2 linked regions of the Sus scrofa genome follow. The protein of the gene in region 1 binds, or shares a complex with, the protein of each later gene. Links are inferred from orthologs where the notes say so. Each region holds a gene or a part of one and is shown on either strand. Other genes may lie near its edges.

Evidence for each region.
Region 2: the proteins of BCL2L1 (region 1) and TPT1 are in contact, whole or in part, in a crystal structure (PDB 4Z9V), measured with the Homo sapiens proteins. The link is inferred for Sus scrofa from reciprocal best matches to the Homo sapiens genes BCL2L1 and TPT1. Residues at the interface, in NP_001304848.1 of Homo sapiens: Ala93, Glu96, Phe97, Arg100, Tyr101, Ala104, Phe105, Leu108, Gln111, Ser122, Gln125, Val126, Glu129, Leu130, Asp133, Asn136, Gly138, Arg139, Val141, Ala142, Phe146, Leu194, Tyr195, Ala199, Ala200, Ser203; in NP_003286.1 of Homo sapiens: Phe14, Asp16, Ile17, Lys19, Ile20, Arg21, Ile23, Ala24, Asp25, Gly26, Leu27, Cys28, Leu29.

What each region holds. Positions count from the first base shown.
Region 1 is NC_010459.5:35,412,963-35,417,373, reverse strand, and holds the start of BCL2L1 (bcl-2-like protein 1), read left to right. Parts: upstream 1-1,577; 5' UTR 1,578-1,710; exon of another isoform or gene 1,711-1,824; intron 1,825-1,942; exon of another isoform or gene 1,943-2,923; intron 2,924-3,001; exon of another isoform or gene 3,002-3,129; intron 3,130-3,203; 5' UTR 3,204-3,333; coding exon 3,334-3,897; intron 3,898-4,411. UniProt on the Homo sapiens protein: Potent inhibitor of cell death. Inhibits activation of caspases. Appears to regulate cell death by blocking the voltage-dependent anion channel (VDAC) by binding to it and preventing the release of the caspase activator, CYC1, from the mitochondrial membrane.
Region 2 is NC_010453.5:21,927,940-21,932,299, forward strand, and holds the start of TPT1 (translationally-controlled tumor protein), read left to right. Parts: upstream 1-1,354; 5' UTR 1,355-1,446; coding exon 1,447-1,474; intron 1,475-1,752; coding exon 1,753-1,826; intron 1,827-2,331; coding exon 2,332-2,522; intron 2,523-2,908; coding exon 2,909-3,014; intron 3,015-3,726; coding exon 3,727-3,843; intron 3,844-4,360. UniProt on the Homo sapiens protein: Involved in calcium binding and microtubule stabilization. Acts as a negative regulator of TSC22D1-mediated apoptosis, via interaction with and destabilization of TSC22D1 protein.

The sequences.
Region 1 (4,411 bases):
CTACTGTTTGCATACAATATTGAGTCCTATAAATTTGCTTGTGAATACAGTGACCATCTCTGAAAGACTACAGAGGAAAGGGCTTAAGAATGGTGACCTCTGTTAGGGGAACTGGGGATTGGAAAGAAGGGGTGGGAAGAAGACTTTTTGATTCTCTGCTCTGTGGTATATTTTTCATATCTTTTTTATTTTTATTATTATTTTTTCTTTTTAGGGACTCAGCTGCAGCATATGGAAGTTCCCAGGCTCAAGGTCGAATCAGCACTGCAGCTGCCAGCCTATGTTACAGCCGCAGTAATGCCAGATCTGAGCTACATCTGCGACCTACACTGCAGCTCTGGCAATGCCGGATCCTTCACCCATTGACTGAACCCAAATCCTCATGGACGCTTAACCCGCTGAGCCACAGTGGGAACTCCTCCAATATCCTATTTTTAATCAATTAAATTACCACAAAATTAATTGATTAATTCACTTCCATGGTCAACTTTCCAACCAATGACCTCTCATAACACATTTGCCCTCCTTTGGTCACACTGCTTCTCCTTCAGCTTCTAAAACATCCCAAGATCTTCCTGCCTCAGGACACTTTGCGCAAGCTATATCCTCTGCCTAGGCTGATGTTCTCTAAACTCTTCCGACGGGTGGCATTTCCTTACACTTCAGATCTTCGGTTCTAAGTTATCCCTTTGAAGAGGCCATCCCTGGCACCCTACACAAACAATTGAAAGAACACTTGAAAAAAATGACTCTCTTGGAGTTCCCACTGTGGCTGAGTGGCTTAAGAACCTGACTAGTATCTGTGGGAATGGGAGTTGGATCCCTGGTCTCACTCAGGGGGATAAGGATCCAGCATTGCTGTGGCTGTGGCGTAGGCCAGCAGCTGCAGCTCTGATTCGACCCCTAGCCAGGGAACTTCCATATGCTGCAGGTGCGGCTCTAAAAAAAAAAAAAAAGAAAAAAATGTCCCTCTTCCTCACTGGGCAGGGAGGGCGAGGCTTACATCCCTGACCACCCACTCTAAAGGAGCACCTCTTTCTTCACCCTCTTTACGACAATACCCTGATTTGCTTTGTTCAGAGCACTAGTCACTATCTGAAATTACCTTGTTTGTTTTCTTAGTTGTTTACTCTCTCCATCTCAAGGGTTTAAGCCTCTATGAAAACATGGGCCGTGTCTTGTTCCTAACTCCATTTTCAGCAACCCAAACAATAAACATTTGCTAAATGAAATTATGCAGCATGTACCATAGACTTCACAAAGAACAACTCAAATCAATCACAGTAACTCAATGAGGGAGATTGGTTTTTACTCACATTACGTACGGTTAAGGATAATCGAGACACAGCGGTTGAGTAACTTTCCCAGTTAGCAAGGTTGGAATCCCAGACACAAGATTCTTGCCACGACGCGATGCTTTTTCGACATATAAACTAACCAGTGGATGAAACTGGCTAAATGAATGAATGAATGGAAACGTGAATGTAAACGTTTATCCTTTTTTGTCTCCGGATTCCCCAGCTCTACCGCAAGGGGGCGCTCTCGCCAAGGTCTTGACGCCAGTACTTAAAGGCGCGCACTCCCCTTGCGTCTCGGGCTCGCGCGCGCTGCCGCGGCACCGGAAGTGACTGAGGTTGCAAGTTCCCCCGGTCTCTTCAGGGGAAACTGAGGCCGGCTCGTTCGGAAGAGACAGCGCGAGCCACCAGCCAGGTAGGCCGGCCCAGGTCCGCGGCGCAGAACTCTGCCGCGAAGAGCGGTCGCGTCTGGAAACTACCTGGCCGATGAATGGGGGATGTGGCCCCCCATGGCTCGCGGGGCTCGCAGGTGAGAGCGCCGCCTCCCCTGTGCGTGGCAGGCGCTGCGCCCAATGGGAGCCCTCGCCGTCCTGCTTCCGTGCCACCTGGGCTCGCTGATTGGCCGCGCTGGGGCGGGCCGCCGGGGGCGAGACCCCTCCTCCCAGAAAGGTCTAGGGGGCGCCCCAGAGGGAGAGCGGTTGCCTAGCAACGGGGCGGTGGCCGGGCGGGTACCCGGCCTAGCGCGCGGAGGGAGCCGCGAGTCCGCAGCCCACCCACCCTGGGCTCGGGAGAGGTGCAGACCCCTGCCTCTAAACCCTCGCCAGGGCGCGAGGAAGCCACCCTGGGCCTGTCCACAGGAGAACGTGGTTTCAGCTGTGGGGGGGCCTCGAGGAGGCCTCGCCCATTCTCCCTGACCCGAGGAGAGGCCCGGCGCCTCACCCTCGCCCAGTCTTTGTGCCGGGCGCCGGCGGCCATTGTGTCCGTGCGGGGAATGGAGGACCCGGCAGCCCCCCACCGCCACGACCAGGGCCTTTGGGGAATTCAGAGAAAGCCAGCAGCGTTTCTGGGGGGTCCCCGGCTTTCCGCCTCCCTGAAAGGCCCGGGGATGGCCTTTCCGAAGTCAGACCGCAGATACGAGGCAGTTTCCCCCTCCCTCCGTCCCTCATCGAAACCTTGAGCCCCATTGAGAAGTCCCTTTAGGGTTTCAGTAAACCTCACCCTGGGCTGGTACTTAAATAGAAGAAAAACAAAAACTAAATCTCACACCAGCCACCTCCGGGAGAGTTCTCCTGGCTCCCAGTAGGAGGCGGAGAGCCAAGGGGCGTGCAAGAGCAAGGGGGCTGGGCTCCCGGGCCGCGGCTGCTGAAGCGGCCGCCCTCGATCTGGGCGATGGAGGAGGAAGCAGGCGAGGGGGCCGGTTCCTGAGCTTCGTAATTCCTGTATCGCCTTCTGGGCTCTCAGTCTGCCGGGTCGCATGATCCCTCCAGCCGGAGCTGCTTTTTTTGCCAGCCGCCGCGAGGCCGGCTGAGTTACCGGCATCCCGGCTGCCACCTCCTCTCCCGACCTCTGATACAAAAGATCTTCCGGGGGCTGCACCTGCCTGCCGGTCGCCTGAGACGGATTTGAATGTAGGTGGTGCGGGGGTGGGGGGTGGGGGACAGACTGCCCATGGGGGTGACTTTCCGAGGAAGACATTTCGGAGAAAAGGGGGTGGCTGAGGCTTAAAGGCCGGTGTGATGATTCAGAGCCCACTGGTGCTTTCAATTTGACTTTATTGAAGTCCCTTGGAAGCCAGACCCAGACCTTCCTAAGAGCCACAAAAGACCCCATTCTGGTACCTGGAGGGGGAATGGATGTTGCAGGGTAAATGGCATGCATGTTAATTTTTTTTTTTTTTTTTTTCTGAAGCTCTTTCTCTCCCTTCAGAACCTTATCTTGGCTTTGGATCTCAGAAGAGAACCACTAAGCAGAGACCAGACTCAGTGAGTGAGCAGGTGTTTTGGACAATGGACTGGTGGAGCCCATCCCTATTATAAAAATGTCTCAGAGCAACCGGGAGCTGGTGGTTGACTTTCTCTCCTACAAGCTTTCCCAGAAAGGATACAGCTGGAGTCAGTTTACTGATGTGGAAGAGAACAGAACTGAGGCCCCAGAAGGGACTGAATCAGAAGCGGAAACCCCTAGTGCCATCAATGGCAACCCATCCTGGCACCTGGCGGACAGCCCCGCGGTGAATGGAGCCACTGGCCACAGCAGCAGCTTGGATGCCCGGGAGGTGATCCCCATGGCTGCAGTGAAGCAAGCGCTGAGGGAGGCGGGCGATGAGTTTGAACTGAGGTACCGGAGGGCATTCAGTGACCTGACGTCCCAGCTCCACATCACCCCAGGGACAGCGTATCAGAGCTTTGAGCAGGTAGTGAACGAACTCTTCCGGGATGGGGTGAACTGGGGTCGCATTGTGGCCTTTTTCTCCTTCGGTGGGGCACTGTGCGTGGAGAGCGTAGACAAGGAGATGCAGGTATTGGTGAGTCGGATCGCAACTTGGATGGCCACTTACCTGAATGACCACCTAGAGCCTTGGATCCAGGAGAACGGCGGCTGGGTAAGGACCACGCCCCTTGTGGTGTCCCTGTTCCTTGGTCTCAGGTCAGATCCCCAACAGCCTTTCCTCTGTACCTCTTTCTGTCGCGCTGTGTGATTATTGGAGATGTTGTTTGTTAAGGAGATGTGACTGGCCTCACTGCAGCACAAGACGCTAACTGTCCTGAAATACAGATGACCTAGTTCTGCAAGGACCAGACAGCTTCGTTCTGGTCATCCCCATGACCCTACCCTTTCAGACTTGTGTCCAATTTCTCTGCAGAGGAAAACATAGCCTGTGTGTTCATTGGGCCCCAAACCTTTGCGGGTGGCGGGTTAGTCCGGTGTTTCCCTGACCCTGACGTAATGGCTCCCCTCGCTAAGGGTAACACCTGCAGGAGACGGTATCAGTGACCCACCAGTCCCTTCAGTCTTACTCCCCCTGGGATGTCAATCCTGTCCTGGGCTTCCCTCCCCCAGATGGAGTCCCCTGTGTTTCAGAGTTGGCATGACCAGGCAGGGAGTTCCCACTGGCT
Region 2 (4,360 bases), on another chromosome or scaffold:
CCTGTTCCTTCACAGGGGGTGCCCTGTCTTACCCTGGGGAATGCTTTATTGTTGAATCAGGGAAAAACCATTAATGTGCTATAATTGGCCAATTCTTTGATTTACTAGAACAAAATTTTCTGTGAGGGTAGGACTGGATTTAACCTGTTCACAGTTGAGACCTCTGAGCAAAACCCCCCGCTAAGGACAGAGTGGAGCACAAATACATTCGTGGTATGGAACAAGTTCTCCGGTTGCATACTGGCATAAATCTTTGCCTGAAAGGGCATTTTTAAAGTATCTCATAATTAGGTCCAAAGTCCAAATAAAACTTGGGCAGGTGGGGAGCTCCTTTTCCTTTTAATGTTTAACCCTCTGGCACCTGGCATATAATTTCGATCTTAAAGTGACAACATACCCTCTTTTTCAAACGACCTAATTCAAGACCAAGTGCAAACAGAAAAGGTGAAGATTCTAAACCTGTGTTAGGAACCGCAAACTTTCACATACAGGACCAAGCCGAGAGATGGGAAAACTGTGTAAACTCCCGCGACACTTTCCTCCCCCCTCAAGTCTTTTCCTACACACATCCCCCACGATTATTCCGAAGGGGCAGGAGGGACGACCTGGGTCCCACAACCCGGACTCAGCCCTGCCCCCACAAAAGCGTCCGAAAACTCGATGTAGGGGGAGAGCCCTAGGAGAAAACGCTGAAAAGTTCTCCGAGACCCCAGAACTCACAGGAGGCGGGTCATAAACCCAGCCCCCCTGCCATCATCCCCGGGGACAGAGTCGCGGTCTCCCAAAGCCTCAAAGGGACCCTACGTAAATGCAAAGTCCTTCCCAACAGCTGACACTTTGGTTCCCAGAAAGGGTGGGAGCTTGCGCCGGGCGAGGCCTGAGGCGGAAACTTGAAGCCCCACCCAGACCCAGCACCTTCGAGGGCAACCCTGGCGTAGGGAGGGGCAGAGCCCCAGGCACCACTTCCACCACTCAGCGCCCGGAAGCCCTTCCCTCCTCGCAGCCCCCCGCACGCTCCTCCCCCCACCCGCTCCCGCATTTCCCTCTGCCCCGCCCCCCGCCGCACCTCCTTCCCTGCGTCGCCCATCCTTGTCCCTCCCGACTTCTCCCCCCTAGGAAGCCCCGAGGGCCCAGCGTGGGGCACGGCTTTGCAGCCCAAGGCCAAGTCCCCGGATGTCCTCCTCCCCTCCCCACCCCCGGCTCGCGCTGTGGCCCCACCCCACGCGCCGCTCTGCGTGCCACGTCACCGCTTACGGCGCTTCCGGAGGCGCAGCGGGCGATGACGTAGGGGGACGTGCCCTCTATATGAGGTTGGGGAGCGGCAGAGTCGGCCTTTTCCGCCCGCTCCCCCCTCCCCCCGAGCGCCGCTCCGGCTGCACCGCGCTCGCTCTGAGCTCCCGGTTCCTGCTAAGCTAGCGCCGCCGTCGTCTCCCTCCAGCCGCCATCATGATCATCTACCGGGACCTCATCAGCCGTGAGTGGGGACTGCACTCTTCCCCACTGCCGCGCGAAGGGGATGGGGGTCTGGTGGGGGGCGGGGAGACGGCCGCCGCCGCCGCCGCCGCCGTCCTGGGCCTGGGGGACGCCGGCGCCCTCCCGGGAGCGAGGAAGGTCGGTGCTTGGCGCGCGCCCTGGGGTTTCGAGCGCCGGGGAAGGGCGGGGGTCGCGTGCGGCGGGCGGGGCGGCGCGGGAAATGGCGCCGGCTCGGGCTTCAGGCGCACGGTTGACTGGCGGGTTTGTGTTCTCGGGCAGATGATGAGATGTTTTCCGACATCTACAAGATCCGGGAGATCGCGGACGGGCTGTGTCTGGAGGTGGAGGGGAAGGTGAGTCGGGCCGGGTCGCGGCGAGGAGGAGGCAAGGCCAGGCAGGCTCGGGTTTCCGCCGCTCCCCCGCCCGAGGTTGTGCAATCCTCTCCGTTGCCTCCTGGCGGAGGAGACGCTCTTTCCGGGCTCGGGTTTTTCTAGAAAAGTGGAGGCGGAGCTGAGTCTGGAAATAGGTCCGCCACTTGGGCGCCCATCCTCCCAGGCGGTCCCGGACAGGTTGTCTCCTGTTTGGGAGCCCGAAGCCCTCAGCGGTTGCCCTTTTCAACCCGACTGTCCACGCAAAACTTCCACTCGTTGTAAACAACCCCCTTCTCGTGCTGGTCAACAAAGAATTGTTAGGGTGTTTTAGGAAATCGAGGGGTCATAAATTTTTTCCCCATGTTTTCAGCAAGAAACAAGAATCTTTAGTGGAAGGCTGATGGGATGTATGAGCTGCTTAAATTGTTTTGATGCCTTTGTGGTAAGGTCGAGGATGTGTTAGCAACTAAACTTTTCCTTAACGCAGATGGTCAGTAGGACAGAGGGTAACATTGATGACTCGCTCATTGGTGGAAATGCCTCCGCTGAAGGGCCCGAGGGCGAAGGTACCGAAAGCACAGTAATCACTGGTGTCGATATTGTCATGAACCATCACCTGCAGGAAACCAGCTTCACAAAGGAAGCCTACAAGAAGTACATCAAAGATTATATGAAGTCGTAAGTGATCTTGGCACATTCCGTTGATGTCTGGAATCCTGTAGGATTTAGGGATCTTCTAACTATGGAGATTTTTTTAGCAAGCAGGCATGGTTGTCAAATACTTTATTAATGAGCTCAGAAGGGTGGTTGCTTTTCTATCAAATATGAGCATAACAGGTGCATACAGGTCTGGCTTTACCTTTTCAGAACAGCACTTTGGAAAGAAGCTGACAGGAAATTCAAAGTTGTGAACAGTCATAAAACATCCCTCCTGTGAGCTAGGAATTTCTTGATTGTGCTCAGTGATAGCTAGTTGCTAGTTTCAGTTTGGAGTTTTTGGAGAAAATTTCTTTTGCTCAGAGCTCTGTAACGAACTTAACCTATCAATAAAATACTTGTTTTAGAATCAAAGGGAAACTCGAAGAACAGAGACCAGAAAGAGTAAAACCTTTTATGACAGGAGCTGCAGAACAAATCAAGCACATCCTTGCTAATTTCAAAAACTATCAGGTAAACAAATGTGTGGATTAAAGGGCTATAGAGTTTAACTTAGAGCAAAAAATGAGTTTGAATGTCTGATGTAATTTAATTGTGGGTATTTTCTTAGCCTTTTGAGCAATTAATACTTGATATATTCAACGCCAGTAGTCTAGCTGGAGAGGGTAGCCTTCCCTACTCCTTCCCCAGATGGCATCTCCCAGTTCTTTCTCTAGAATTGCTCAGTTTGACCCCTAAGTGGTTTTCCACTTTGCTTTCTTTTTACAGTTCCATTGGGTCTCATTGCCACTGGAGCTCTTTCTGATGTGAGCTTGTACTGTTGAGGAACGTAAAGAATTCCCTTACCGCCAAGCGAAAGTTTTGCTGTTTTCACACATCCTGTGTGTGACCCTAACTTTCTTTTCATAGGGTGTGCATGCTCTCATTGCTAGCCTTACTACATTCCCTGTGGTTGACTGTAAACAGGCTTCTTTGTAGGGCTTGGAATTGGCTGTGTGGGGATGAGAAAGCCTAAAGTTTCTAGAGTGCTCTGTACTCTTTATTTTGGCTCTTTTAGTACTTTGGGTGAACAGATTGATTAGTGAGCATTTCTCTTAGGCATCAAATCAGAGCCTCTGGTTGCTGAGAGTCTCGATTAAATAGTGGTGTTCTGAATCATTCTTTGATTTGTTTTGATACAGCACATTTGTATAATCTAATTCTGGATATTTGTTTGCTTCCTAAGTTCTTTATTGGTGAAAACATGAATCCAGACGGCATGGTTGCTCTGCTGGACTACCGTGAGGATGGTGTGACTCCATATATGATTTTCTTTAAGGATGGCTTAGAAATGGAAAAATGTGTAAGTACAAAGAAGTGGGTTGAAATCAGTAATGTAAAAATGGAGAGTGTGGGCATAATCCCTTGTTTCATGCCACTGGGACAGTTAGAATGGGTTCTGCAGCAGTCCTTTGAAAATGAGGGTGCAGGTCTTTTTTCTTGGGGATCTAAAGAATGTTGTGATTCACATGTAAAGGATTTTTATGGTATAGAAAAGCTTAGAATGGATCTGCAGGAAACTTAGCATAGATGACATTATAAATAGCTTAAATACTGAGCCTAGAGATCAGAGATAACGTATATAATCTAAATATTTTAAGTTATTTTAAGGGATAACACCCTATGTTGACATTTCTTATGGAAATGGCCCATAGAAATCAGACTGCTTTTCTCTTCCTATTTTGCCACACATACTGAGCATTAAAACCCTTTTCAAAGAAACTAGTCTCAATTTACAGTAATTGGCAGGTAGTCTTGATGTTACAAACTTTTAGAAAATACAGTTTAGAGCTGGAAATGAATGTCTCATGCAAGGAGCT